Linked DNA regions of Nothobranchius furzeri. The protein of the gene in region 2 purifies or fractionates together with the protein of the main gene of each other region. This does not show direct contact. Links are inferred from orthologs where the notes say so. Each region holds a gene or a part of one and is shown on either strand. Other genes may lie near its edges.

The links.
Region 1: the proteins of nepro (region 2) and rpp25l purify together in Homo sapiens (affinity purification with mass spectrometry; 3 studies listed by BioGRID and IntAct, with this or other methods). This does not show direct contact. The link is inferred for Nothobranchius furzeri from reciprocal best matches to the Homo sapiens genes RMP64 and RPP25L.

What each region holds. Positions count from the first base shown.
Region 1 is NC_091745.1:59,630,804-59,635,065, reverse strand, and holds the start of rpp25l (ribonuclease P protein subunit p25-like protein), read left to right. Parts: upstream 1-1,456; 5' UTR 1,457-1,559; intron 1,560-1,576; exon of another isoform or gene 1,577-1,600; intron 1,601-4,262. UniProt on the Homo sapiens protein: May be a component of ribonuclease P or MRP.
Region 2 is NC_091754.1:12,629,403-12,633,610, forward strand, and holds the start of nepro (nucleolus and neural progenitor protein), read left to right. Parts: upstream 1-1,405; 5' UTR 1,406-1,493; coding exon 1,494-1,578; intron 1,579-1,768; coding exon 1,769-1,923; intron 1,924-2,002; coding exon 2,003-2,091; intron 2,092-2,225; coding exon 2,226-2,354; intron 2,355-2,509; coding exon 2,510-2,587; intron 2,588-3,736; coding exon 3,737-4,038; intron 4,039-4,208. Other genes in the region: tex30 (testis-expressed protein 30), read left to right, coding at 1-72, 152-203, 323-540, 728-892. UniProt on the Homo sapiens protein: May play a role in cortex development as part of the Notch signaling pathway. Downstream of Notch may repress the expression of proneural genes and inhibit neuronal differentiation thereby maintaining neural progenitors.

The sequences.
Region 1 (4,262 bases), on a different chromosome or scaffold from region 2:
TAAAATGCATTTGAGGCATGCTGACTCTGGACCAAAATTTCTGTTGTTTATATTTAATAAATAGATAAAATAAGACTCAGAGTTAACTAATTATGACTTTTATCCTCATGCTAACATTTATTTTCTTTCAGATATCAGCAAGTGCAAGGATGACCCACCTACTCAGCCTCATTTGAGAACATTTCCAGTGACATTAATAGGAGACAGAAGATGCAGCTTTCAGCCAAGCTGGTATGAAAGTCATCCAATTGGGTTGAATATTCTGTTACTATGGACTCTACTTATTGTCATGCATGCAGACATTTTAGCCCACCAAGTAGCGCAGGAAGTGTGTTTGACTCACCATGTGGATTTAGGAACTGGAAAAAAGCAACTGAGAGAGGAGGGGGGTTTTCAGTACACGCAAAGTCTGAAAGGCATAAGGATTCAATGATAGCGTGGAGGGACTACCAGAGGGCTGTGAAAGCTAATACAACATTGGCTAATATACTCGACAAGGAACTCAGTAAAAAGGTTAAAGAAAATCGTGAGTTTATCAAAACAATTGGTGAAGTGATTTTGCTTATGTGTGTGTGTGTGTGTGTGTGTGTGTGTGTGTGTGTGTGTGTGTGTGTGTGTGTGTGTGTGTGTGTGTGTGTGTGTGTGTGTGTGTGTGTTGACTACAAAAAGCAGATTGTATTGTGCAGATATTTTATTTGTTTGAATGTTTATTTTTCATATGTACAGTTCATATAATCTTCAAATAAAGTCACAAACTATAATAATTGACTAGAATTGTTTTTTACTCAAGTCTCATGTTGCGGTGAAGCATTCAGAATTGTTATCTGAGTACCATAAAAACATGCCAGTTTTACTTTCACAAGTAAGCCATTACTGCATTCGCCGTAATAGTTTACTTGTTCATTGTCTTTTAATATGATTTTTTTTCTTGTGCCCCCATGAAAAAATACTGGCCCCACAGTGGCCCCCCTGGAAAATTTGGTCTAGAACCGCCCCTGGTTTGGTGATGTGCAGGAACAGGTGGAAATTTTTGTCTCAATGGAACTTCAAAATAGAATAATTTTCAAAATAAAAATGAATTTGCATACATTCTTTACCAATTGATTTTTGCTTTTTGGATCGATGGCCATGATGGATGTGTCAAAGTAGATCAATGTATTGTTACATTGTGAGTACATTTTGAGGCATGCTGAAATTTACTGAAATGTCCCTGGAGCTTCCGTTTGTCACCTGACGTGTTAAGAGAGAAACAACAGCTGTGTTCAGTTTGCTTTGAAACATCACAATAAAAACTCTTAATTAATTATGAGTTCTGCAGTCTTATTTGCTTAGACAGTGTAACAAAATAGTCCTTGCTGTGATGGAGCATCTGGGCTTGTTTTCCATGGTTTTCATAGGAATTTTATTGTTTTTCTGAAACGTATGATTCGCGGTACTTTAAAAAACTACAAGTGTCTCGTGAGTTTACGACAGTTTTTGTGGTTTTACGGTAACGTAACCTGTTGTGGTAAACATGCGGACTCGGAGCAGTGTTCAGTAGTAAAAGGAAAGAAGTAAAGGTAAGAAGATAGTGTTTTCATGCTGCAGCGGACCACCTAAGGTTTTTATCTTGTGTTACCCCTTATGACCTGCGTTTGTCTTATTTATGACCATTTTAAAAACACTTGTTTACTGAACGGTTAGCTTTAGGTGAGTCCGGGTGAAGCAGCTTCCTGCGGTGAGGTTTATTATCATCTGAGGTGTTTTCAGGTCAGAGTTTGAACAGCCTTGTTGGCACATGTGGTTAGTTGGAGTGGTTGTTGTTTGAAGTTAGCTGTCTAGCTAGTGTGCTAAAGGCTAACACCGCATTGAACGCGAAGTTAAATTATATTGTGTATCATTTCTGCGTGTGATGATGTCATAAGCATGCCGAACACTTAAAAAGACGCAGAATTGTATTTTAAACCTTCGTTTAAAACCAAGTTCAGCGACGTCATCACATCTGGGTAAAAATGCTATTTTTGTGTGGAGTTTGGTTTGCGCTCAGAACTGAATTTTATATCTGTTTAAAAACTCAAAAGGTTGGAAATGTGTTTAATCATGACTAGGGTTGCCAACTCCCTGAAAAATAAATAAGGGACACCTCGCGGGCAGGGCGCTCCAGGCCACCCTTCCCAGCGTGGTGATTTTTTTGCTCTTTTTTTGTGTGTGGGTGTGAAAGGATTTTTTTTTTTTACTATTTGACTTGAAGTTGGTTTAAGAAGATGCATATTCTTTGTGATATGAAAACATGGGAAACAAATGATCATTTAGCCATTTATTTATGGCGTGAAATTACAAAATTATTATAAGTAACAAAGGTATTTTTCTTAAACAGAAAACTGTTATGCTCAACTTTTTGTGCAAAATGACAAAAAAAAGTAGGTCTCTTTCTTAAACGGTAGCCTGTTATGCTTTACTTTTTAGAATATAAATAGCTCTCTTTAAAACAACTCTGTTCTGCTTAACTTAAAATTGTATAAATTAATAGAAAACAACAGAAAGAGCAACGCTGTAACTGCACATTGAGTGCAATTAGAAAAGTGCAAACAGAAAGTCTGTGGAGAAGCTGTAAACATATTTGTGCCTCAAAGGCCTTGACTGTAGCCTATGGTTGAAGTAAAAAAAAAAAAGTCCAAACTCATGAACTCAAAAACTCAATGCTACATTATGTGAAAACAGACTATTTTCGCCATTTGTATTTCTTTTGAGATCTTGCTGCATTTAGGAGTTGTTTGTCTTTCAGTACTGCAGAGTAAAACTCTGAGCAAGACATGTCACAATTTAGAGTGACAATGAGCTCACATCTAATTATTTCAGTAGAACATTTGTTCCGCACATCAGTCCACTTATTCTTCATGAGAGAGAAAATCCTCTCTGCCAATCCAGTGGAAGATGGGATGCTGAGTACAAACGATACAACAGGCTGGATGTTGGAGAGGTCAGCTGCCTGAAGAATTTCTATACACTTCTCTGCTGTTCCCTTGGACTGCCACTTTTCCTTCTCCTGAGGTCCTTTGGTGAGGTGCTCCAGAAGGCTGGCTGCAGTGACACACTCGTCATAAAGCTCATCCATAGAGATGTTTAACCTGCCAATGGAGATAAGAAGTAAACCTGGGTTATAAGCACCACATAGAACACTTACAGTGGTAAATAAATGGAAAACATTTATTGTATATTTATTGCATTGTATAGCTTTTATACAATACAATAGTTCACTTTATTTATTATGTATTTATCCATCCTTTTAGTTTAAAATTATCCAAACAACATATAAACCAAGACAAGGCTACATCGAAACTAAACACCCAAGTTAAAAAAAAAAAATAGAAAAACTAATGACAAAACAGAAACAGACAACAAAAATAATAAAAATAATGGTAAACAAGCCCCAACACAGTGGGTTTTTTTTTCTTCATATAAATACCTTCACTTTAACCAGAGGGTTTAAAAAAGCAATGTTTACTTACCATATCTGCTTCTGCCATGGCCTTGTGGACGACAAATGGATCGAGGGTTCCCCGTAATTTCACGTCCTTTATGTTTTTCATGTGGCTACTACTAGACGCATGTTGCTTGAGGTCAGTGAGTCCACCATGCCCTTTGGAAAAACTGCGCCGGTACACGGTGCAGTGCGCTTTATAGGTGTTCTCGCGCAGTTTTTCCAGCCAGGAATTTTCCTTTTCCCATTCCTCCCTGTATTTTTGAAGCCTTTTTTCTTCTTTCTCGGAGGGGTACTGTCGTCCGAGACTTGTACAGCAGTGTCGGCGTTAGTTTCCCGGTTGGCCGTGCTGTTTGCTGTCGTCTGTTTTCTTCCGGTATCTTCTCCCCAAGCGACCGTTCCTCGACCAATGAAATAAGCGGTAATCTTATCGTCATATTCGTGTGTAAGCATGCGGTCAGTTCATTAGTCACAGAGCAGGCGAAGGGCTGGCTTTCAAACAAAGCGTTAATTCCGGTAATAGACTACAGACTAATTTTGATCCATACTATATTACGGGACAAAGTGCGTCCCTTTTGAGTTCAATACGGGACGTGCACTTTTGTTTCTAAATACGGGACGATTCCGTTTTTCAAGGGACGGTTGGCAACCCTAATCATGACTGATCAGCTGCTTTAAATGGGAAAACTTCAGTTGTCCCTAACATCCTGACTTATTACAACATATTTGTTAAAATAAAACAATTTCTTTTTATTCTGTTCAGTAGCAATCCCTTTCCTTCACAGCACTGTACAAGTTGTAA
Region 2 (4,208 bases):
TTCATCTGCCTTCGTTTTACGTGTAAAGGCTTAAATCTGAGTTATAGAGTTAAGGCGTATTGTGCAGTGTGGGTAAGGGTTTTCCATTTTTTATAAAATTATGTTAATAAATTCTAGTGTGTATTCACACGTTGCTGTGTTTTTGCTCTAGGACTACTTGAAATCATATCAGAAGTATACAATAAAACACACGTTTGTTGGAGGTAAAAGCCAAGGAAATGATCAGTTGCCATATTCTAAAACTTAATTACATATGAAACAGAAACGAGTATTAAAAATAAAACAAATATATATTTTAAAATTTTTTTCTGTATGTTGACAGGCAGGTCATTGGGATGTCGTGCTGCAGCAGCACTGGCCAGGCAGCTGAGTGAGGAGTCGAAGGAAGCAGCAGTGCAGGGAGTCATCTGTCTCTCTTTCCCCCTGCATCCTCCAGGACAGAGGCATATCCATCACCAGCGGAGCGAAGATCTCCGGATGCTGCCTGAGTGCCTTCATGTGCTGTTTGTGTCTGGCACTGAGGACAACATGTGTGACAGGGTGAGGGTGAAATATGTACCGGGCCTTCATCCTGGTACCTTTTAAGTTCACTTATTCAGTTTTTTATTTGTTTAATTTTATGTTCATTATATCCTAAAATCTATAATTTAGTGACATCATGTATTATTTTATCCATTTCAACTTTCACAATTATATTTCAGTCATTGTATTTACTTATCTTTTTTAGGAGCTTTTCAGTGGAGTACTGAAAGATATAAAAGCTCAGGCTGAAGTTTTATGGATAGCAGGAGGCAGCCATGGACTGAAAGTGAAAGGAAGGTCTGAGGATTCTGTGATGGATGAGATCAACCTGAAAGTTATCAACTGGATAAAGAAAATTGAGTTTAAGTGAATCACTGGAGTCATCTTGTTATTAGTTTGTTTCATTTTCTTGCATTTGTTAAATAAAACACATTGTTTTTATTACAACAAATCTGTTGGTACAGTTTTTACTGGGTGTTAAAACTTTATTATGCAAGCAAAGTATTCACGTTAATTCATTTTCTAAATGTGTGCACATTGCAAGAGCAGAGTTGCAAATATTGCAACATTAAAAAAAATAAGTAGCTCAAGCACGTGGGGATGGCAAACTTGTAAAATTATTTAAAAATATTTATTCAATATTTAATAAATGTTTCCAATTTTACCACATAGTGTATAAATACATTATCAAAAATATCCTTTTTTCTGTAGATTTTAAATATTCAAAATATGTTGAATTTCACTTCAAAATGTCTTAGAAATACTTTGATTTTTAAAAATGGTAAATTGTTTCTGTAACAATTTAAAAAATATAGAAGAATAAGCAAATGTCTTATTTATCTATTAGTTTTATTATTTTCAATTTTCGATTTCAAGTGTCAAACTTGTTTCTGTACCTTTAAATCCAATGTTGACGTCACACACTCGAACACTATTGGCTAATCGGCTTCCGTACATGGAATGCAGAAAGCATGGCTGCGGAACCATGGAACAGGGTAAACATTCCCTTTCCCAGTGCGACATCAAGCGTCCACATACGTCTCACATCAACAACAGGTTTGGCTTTTTAACTTTAAAATAATTACGTGTTTTACTTATATTGTCTGATGTCTCGCGCTCGTTTCAACGCGTAAAAACCGCGCCGATCTCAGCCCTCACGTGTGCGCGCAGGGGTTTTGCGTCGTGTGCTTCGATGGTGACACTCGTGTGTGTGTGTGTGTGTGTGTGTGTGTGTGTGTGTTTCTAGCTGAGGTTTTCAAAACCCTGCAGCGGGAAAACAGCCAAGTCCTGAAGCTTCTCCGCAGCAATATTCTTTGGACGGAAATCAGAGTTCTGTACGAGCTGCTGTACGTTCTAAACAACAGCATGAGAGGCAACAAGACGTTCAAGGGGTTACAACAGGTCAGCACCAAAGCTGCAGAATAACTGTTTTGATGTGGACTTCTTTAGATGTATTTGTCATGTCTGACTTCTCCCACAGGTTGAACAATGTGTAAACAGACTGAAGAACATGAAGCTTGATGCAGCTCTTGAGGATCTTGCAAATTTGTGTCCAACTAAGATTCAAATGTAAGAAGCAAACAACCCAAGGCTCTTCCTTTATAGTTGATGAAACAGGATAGGTCAAATCAAGTTTTAAAATATCTAAAGCGCAACCTTACACAGCTTTTTTCAAACTAATGTTAATTTGTGTGCATTTTTAGGACACTGTGCACCAAGAGCGGTGAGTGCAATGTTCCAAGTCAGCCCACGCTGGAGTGGACCTGCCTCAAAGTCCTGGGAGCCAGCAAACTCCTAAGCTGCACCTTGACCCGCTGCAAAAGAGCCTTTATGTATCCTGTTTTAGAGGATTGTGTTATCTGTGTGCATCATAAAAGTATCGGTGTCATGTCGTTTTTGACTGCTGGCGTCTTAGTTAGGGTTTAGTCTTTTTCTGATCACTTTATTGCTGGGGGGGGGGTTTATCCTTAACACATTTTTGTTTCAGACTCACGAGGCAGCAAATGAAACTGGAGGAGTTTGTGTTATTGTGTTTGGTGATCACCAGCATGCTCAGTCGTTTGTGGTAAGAGAAACTTTGAGAAACTGCAAAATAGAGGCTGGAGCAAATGTAACTCCAGAAAAAGCCATTTTTACTGATCATTTTCGGAGCAGTGCCTCGTGTTAGATTATGGGCCATTCCCATCTGTACCGGGTCGGCCCCAGCCTGGCCCGGTTGATTCCACACATCCTTGTCTTAAGCCCATGTGGACTGATTCTTCCCACCAATCAGAGGCTTGCTCTAATGGAAGGTGTGAATTTGCTGTCAGCAGTGGGTGTGTTAGCCCTGGTCGGCCTGAAGCAGAACCCCTCGAGAGAAGAGGGCTGAGAATGAGCCTTGGTTGGCCCGGTAAAATACCAGGCCACCCAGATATGTAAACAACCTACGCTACCCGGCCCGGGCCGACCCGGTACAGGTGGGAATGGTCCATTAAGCCCCATTCCCACCTGTACCGGGTCGGCCCGGGCCGGGTAGCGTAGGTTGTTTACATATCTGGGTGGCCTGGAATTTTCCCGGGCCAACCAAGGCTCATTCTCGGCCCTCTTCCCAAGGGGTACTGCTTCAGGCCGACCAGGGCCAACACGCCCACTGCTGACAGCAAATTCACACCTTCCATTAGAGCAAGCCTCTGATTGGTGGGTAGAAGCAGCCCACATGGGCTTAAGGCAATGATGTGTGGAATCAACCGGGCCAGGCTGGGGCCGACTGGGGCTACCCGGCCCGGGCCGACCCGGTACAGGTGGGAATGGGGCTCTTGTTTACAACACTGCTGTAGCTAGCGCTAATGATGAACAAGAGCCAACTGATACCAAATGATCCACAAAGTAAAAAGGTCCACACCATTGGGAAAAAAAAATGTTTATTTTTTAAATTTACACGTGCAGTAGCAACAAATCCAGGTCACCATCAGTCTGAAATTTTGTAGCTTCGTTTAACTCCCTCAGATGAGTGTAGGCTGTGCCGAGGTTCACTCTGGTTTTACCTCTATGTTTAGATCTTTTTTGGGCTTTTTATTGGCGAACTGATAGCAGTTTCTGGTCAGTGGAGGCCTACAGAGTTATGTCCAATGTGAAGTTGCTAAAGGTACTGGCTTAAGAACCACTGAAACCAGTTTGAAACCAGTATCTTAAAATGTAAAAACTGTTGAAGTTCTCCTTTTCTGTGCCTTACCAGGGTGATTTTCCGTGGTATCCTGGTTGGGCTCGCCAAACTGTACCCGAATGTCCTGGAACTCCTCAGGGATGTGTCCCAGGCCCAACCCATGCCATACCTCACTGGCATCTCCCTGCCAGCTACTATCGCTGAGATTCTGAGTCCTTCTGATAAATTATTACTGAAGACGCATTGTGCATTTCACTCTCACGTCAAAGATCAGAAGATAAAGCAGCAAAGCAAAAAGAATGTTCCAGATAAAGAGAGAACCCAGGGAAAGAAGAGGAAGATTACAGAAGACCTGGGGGTTTTGGTCAAAAGAGGTATAGTGTCTTGTCTTCTGTTTTACCTGGACTAGGGCTGGGCGATATGGCAAAAATAGAATTTCACGATTTTTCCAATATTTTATCACAATTTCGATTTTATCACGATTTTTTATCCATGAATAGCATAACTTCTATTGCGTATTAAAGAAGAGAAACATTGAATAAAC